2 linked regions of the Kluyveromyces lactis genome follow. The protein of the gene in region 2 interacts with the protein of the main gene of each other region in a biochemical or structural test. Links are inferred from orthologs where the notes say so. Each region holds a gene or a part of one and is shown on either strand. Other genes may lie near its edges. The genes, in order: ARL1 and SPS18.

The links.
Region 1: the proteins of SPS18 (region 2) and ARL1 form a complex in vitro, tested with the Saccharomyces cerevisiae proteins (2 studies listed by BioGRID, with this or other methods). The link is inferred for Kluyveromyces lactis from reciprocal best matches to the Saccharomyces cerevisiae genes GCS1 and ARL1.

Annotation. Positions count from the first base shown.
Region 1 is NC_006041.1:2,193,080-2,195,627, forward strand, and holds ARL1 (Arf family GTPase ARL1), read left to right. Parts: upstream 1-1,474; coding exon 1,475-2,026; downstream 2,027-2,548. Other genes in the region: UBS1 (Ubs1p), read right to left, coding at 1-581. UniProt on the Saccharomyces cerevisiae protein: Recruits golgins such as IMH1 to the Golgi. Can bind and hydrolyze GTP. May be involved in trafficking events within the endosomal system.
Region 2 is NC_006040.1:1,593,307-1,596,405, forward strand, and holds SPS18 (Sps18p), read left to right. Parts: upstream 1-1,253; coding exon 1,254-2,327; downstream 2,328-3,099. Other genes in the region: SPS19 (2,4-dienoyl-CoA reductase (NADPH)), read right to left, coding at 1-194; KLLA0_D18964g (phosphatase PAP2 family protein), read right to left, coding at 2,587-3,099. UniProt on the Saccharomyces cerevisiae protein: GTPase-activating protein (GAP) for ARF1 and ARF2. Involved in intracellular vesicular transport. Required for transport from the trans-Golgi network.

The sequences.
Region 1 (2,548 bases), on a different chromosome or scaffold from region 2:
TCGTTTGTTATGTGGTTATGGGTATCTACCGGGGTTGGGCTTTTACTATGCAATTTCGGGGAGTTTCTTTTTGTATGATTAGGTTGTGACTGAGCCTGCGTTTGCAAATATTCGTTTACCATCTGAACGTCTGTTTGAGTCACCGAGTAAGACTCGAATAGTCGCGGGGAGAAATTCTTGAACTCCTTTACCATAATTCTGTTCCAAGCCATGGCCAATTTTTTATGATAATCGGTGATATTAGTACAGCGACTATAAATTGATGATAACAAATGCTCATAAAAGGAGCACAACCCATAGTTCAGAAGAACAGGAGAGAGATGATTCAAGCAGATAGTCTTATTCACAGGTATGCAGGGATTAGGTGTCAAACAGTTTAATAGTATGATAGGCTCCCATTCGTTCATAGGCTTGTGGCTTATGAAAACAACACAGTAAAGTTCCAAATCTCGGCTTTCGTCATGTAGTACTATATTCCAGAACTGCAAATTTGATTCTTGTGGCTTGATATGGCATGTAGAGTGCTTATAATGGCTCAAACGTTTCCATTCCCTAAGGAGTTTCCTGTACAACGGATGCATCTTATGTGGATGTGGCCTGCTATTTGAAAGAAAAAAAAGTAGTGAAGAATAACAATTATAGGCAATGGAAAAGCCTTTCCAATAATGATATATTACCACACTTAGTTGGCAATATAGTAGTTAAGATATCCAATAATAATCACGTTACCCTTAGCTTTGCATGCAAAGGTATGCAGTCTTACTGTTTTGTATTTTTACAAATCAGATTAATATATTCTATTATTATTTTTCTCTGATTATCATTTTTGATCTACAAATTCTTCATATATTGTAGAATATGTTTATACAGATAGAAGAAGAAAGAAAATTCAGAGCATTAATCAGTACCGGTATGCCTCATGTGAGCTCTCTGCAGTTACAAACTCGCATATATAAAAAATTGAGATTGAACAAAAAAATACAGCGAGGACAATGTGAACGATACAGACTATATACGCAAGTAATTTTTACTATGTCTAATGGGGTCTCTTTGTTTGTTGTTACCCGGCCACTAAAAGGCCAACTACAATTTTAGTGAAAGGAAAATCTCAGGATCGAGTGATTAATAACACACTGCATTGGTTAGGAGTTATGATTTCATTGTATTTAATATTTCACTCATTACAAAGACATTATCTGATCTTATAGTACGAATACAATAAAATTGTTTACACATCAGGAGACAAACTTACCGCTGTCTGGATCGCTGTTTATTCGTTTATTTGTTTCGAATTTTGGCTGTAACTGGTTCTCAAATAAGAAATATTTTGAACAAGTACTTCCTAATTTTACATATCAACTAGTACAAAAGTTTTGGTTTTAAATTATTAATTGACTTATTAATACACCTTTTCTTTAATTACCAACTACCTTTGAATTGACCGCAGTACAGCAATTACTTATAAAATATCACAATGGGTAACTTCTTTAGTTCTATGTTTGATAGACTATTGGGTGCGGAAAAAGAATTACGTATATTGATATTAGGGCTTGATGGTGCTGGTAAGACGACGATATTGTACAGACTACAGATAGGAGAAGTGATAACTACAAAACCTACCATTGGTTTCAATGTAGAGACGTTAAATTATAAAAACTTGAAACTTAACGTGTGGGATCTAGGTGGACAAACTTCGATTAGACCATACTGGCGTTGTTATTACGCAAACACAGCAGCAGTTATCTTCGTTGTTGACTCTACAGATAAGGACCGTATGAATATAGCTTCGAAGGAATTGCACCTCATGTTGCAAGAAGAAGAATTGCAGGACTCCGCTCTGCTCGTATTTGCCAATAAACAAGATCAACCAGGCGCATTAAGTGCGTCAGAAGTATCAAAGGAGTTGAACTTGGCAGAATTGAAGGATAGAAGCTGGAGTATTGTTGCATCCAGTGCCATTAAGGGCGAAGGGATAACTGAAGGTTTGGATTGGTTAATTGACGTGATTAAGGAAGAACAAATGTAATTGTAGAAGGAATTGAAAACTGCATGTTTTTTAGTGCTTCCGGTCCCATTATATTTATCTACAACTGAAATGCTTTTTTAATTTGACATGACCTAAGATAGTAATAAAAATAAATGACAAAGCTAATAACAAAGTTAAAATTCGAATTGTTTACTTCCTGCCGATGCTGGCGTAATGTCCTATTGAATTCCTTTACACGCTTATTTCAATAGACATTCAATTTTCCCATGCATTTTTATTTCATCTCCAAAATCCTCCACTATTTCGTTTACGTTTGCGTATGCGTGATATAATGTTTTCTCCTATTCAAACCATTCCATCGTGCCCTAGTTTCATTATATATATAGCATATTCATAATTCGCATAATTAAGCAGTCATTATACCATGCAACCACGAATCCTTTAAATGGAACATGGTCTTGCCAACTACCACCATATCATTCAGTATATGATGTATTACTTCGCTCAACGTAAAAAGGTAAATCTCTTTGTTATATATTACAGGTGTACATTACCCCCTCG
Region 2 (3,099 bases):
TCGTGGGCCGTTTTCCTCGTCTTTTCCGGGTTTCTACCAACGATTACAGCTTTACAACCTAAAAGCACCATTGCTTCTGTTTGTACCCTGCATATCGTTCCTGCCCCTCCGGTGACAAACACGACCTTGCCATGGAACGTATCCTTTTTCCACGGCCCATTCTCAACAAAAGTTTTATCTAAAGTGTTAGGCATTCTCTCTTATACTGTTTCTGCGTACCTCTATGCTCAATTCCTGTCACAATTCATCGAAGTGATGAAGTATATGTCCCTTAAATCTAGAAAATGTTGACCTAGCAGTATTTACCCACCAGTATATATATATACAATAAACACAGCGAAGATAATTTCAAACTAACACCCTAAGAAAAGGGCAATCCCCTAAGTTGCGAATATGTTTTAGCTTCCTAGTTGGAGATGGAGTCATTTGAATTCGATGATCATTACTTCTACTTACGGGCTTAACAAGTCTGACTATATAATTGCCATAGAGAAGTGGCATTATCAGGTTACAGCTGCTGAATAAAGAGCGGAGAAGGATGTATTTTCTGTCCGGGTAACAAATTATCCGGGTACTGATTGATCTAATTAGCTTATTAAAATGCTAGTAGTTGTTCAGTAACTCTTATACAATGCACTCCAGAAACAAAACGCAAGTTCCAACCATTATATCGCCCCTTTAACAACGTAATGATACCGGTACCGAGCTGTTTCGCAACTTTTCGAGACAGGATGTCAGGCTTCGTGTTTAATACTTTCATTTCCGAAGCCAGAAGAACATTTGTTACCCGGGCATGGGCGGCTTTTTCTCTATCTCTTTGCATGAAAATTCAAATCTAGACCTTCCGGTGAAAATCGAAATTTAGCATGTTGATTATTATCATGAGAATCAACGAATCGGTGAATGTTGTGGTTTCTGACGTACCCGTGTGTTTCTTCTGCTTCCTAGTGTGATTATTAGGGCTCAGCATCTGTGTTGTGAATCATTCGATATTTGTTACAGTATTGACACGCTTTAGAGGTTAAGTGTTGGTTCGTTAGTTTGTGTTTTGGGGTAGAACATTTGTTCGATATTGTGGCTGGAAAGCAAAAGTCAATTAAGAAGAATTGGAACTATCGATAGTGCCTGAAGTGTTAGGAGCCATCAATAACACTTTTGACAATTTAAATCAGTGAGCTGAGAATTTAAAGCTTGTGTTTCTTTTTTTTCCAGTTGATCACTACAATCATTATCAAATTCTCCGTCTAGATCCAATGTCAGAGTGGAAAGTCGATCCTGATAACAGGAGAAGGTTGTTACAGTTACAAAAAGTTGGTGGAAACAAGAAATGCCTTGACTGTGGGGCTCATAATCCACAATGGGCCTCGCCTAAATTCGGTGTTTTCATTTGTTTGGAATGTGCCGGTATTCACCGAGGATTAGGAGTGCACATCTCCTTCGTTAGATCCATCACTATGGATCAGTTCAAATCAGACGAACTAGTTAGAATGGAAAACGGTGGTAATGACAAATTTACTGAGTATCTGGAAGACCATGGGATTGATTCGAGTTTACCTCAGAAGTTGAAGTATGATAACGTTATTGCTTCGGATTATAAAGATAAACTAACTGCTATCTGTGAAAGCAAAGAATGGGAAGAACCTGATCGCTCTGATTTTGACCCAACCCAGCTTACAGCAACTAACTCTAGGTCCGGTACCCCTCAGCTAAATGGTTCATTGTCTGAAAAACTTGGCTCTGAAGAAGCAGTAAACCAAAAGGAGAAAAATGAATCCTATTTCGCTACACTCGGTGAGAAAAACTTACAGAAACCAGAACATATACCGCCATCCCAAGGTGGTAAATATCAAGGTTTCGGAAACACGCCTATTATTCAACATAAGAAAGGAAATCAAGCTGAACCTGGCTCTACTACCTTGACTTTGGAAAACTTTCAAAAGGACCCGCTTGGCACTTTCACAAAGGGTTGGGGCCTATTTTCTTCAGCCGTGTCGAAATCAATGGAAGAAGTTCAAGAATCTATCATCAAACCAAATGTCGAACAATTCTCACAAAAAGATCTATCTGAAGAGGCAGTCAGGGCTGCCAAGCAGTTTGGTCAAAAATTCCAAGAATCCAGTAGTTATGGACTGCAAGCTCTCAACTCTTTCACAAAGGGTCTGCAACAACAATTACAGGAAACACAGGATGGACCTGCTACCTCATCACAATACACGAAACTGTTTGACGGGGCAGATGCTACCTCAACAACGCATACCCAAGCTCCGGCACAAAACAAAACTTCAGAAAAGAAGATTTCAGGAGAAGACGGATGGGAAGAATTTTGAAGCTGAGAAGCTTAAACTCACTCAAATTTCTTTCACTTACTTTATAAATATCTCATTTAAATAATTGGGGTGGAGTTGAAACCCTCTATCACATATCCTGTGACATAATATTTTTGTTCAAATATTTTAAAACTGGAAGTAAACTTCGATGATGAAATGATATTTACTTTCGATCCACTTTTTATTTTTGATATAGATGAAAAGGAAAAGCATAAATAGAAAGGAAAAAAAGAACAGTTGATAGTCGTATGCTTGGGTACTATATAGTTGCGTGACTATTGCTTGGGTATGTTCGTCTACTCAAATTTCTTACAGTCACAATTTCTGGTTCTTCACCATCACCCTTTTGTTGTGAGGGGTCGACTTTCCATGTAAACTCCTGATCGTTGAAAAAACGTTTTGGTTCGTATGCTAAAGTCATATCTTGCTCAACTTTCGTACCATTAGCCAAGGTATACATTGCAGGCTTCCTCCAAATTGGTGGAAAATATTGCCTATATATCAACATAGCACTTGAAATTCCTATTGCAGCTCCAAACACATTATCAGTAAGAAAATGTCTATTATCTGCGAGAGTGGATGCACTCATCAATGTGGCAAAAAGAATCGGAAATCCAGTCAAGGGTAAAGTAATTGAGTTTGAAGAAGTAGCATGTTGGTAGATATTCACTCGAGATAGAATCATGAAAGTTAATAATGTCAAATTGGAAAAAGCCGTTGCTGCCGTCCCACTGGGAAAGCTTCTAAAGCCATCAGCCAAGACACGTAAATT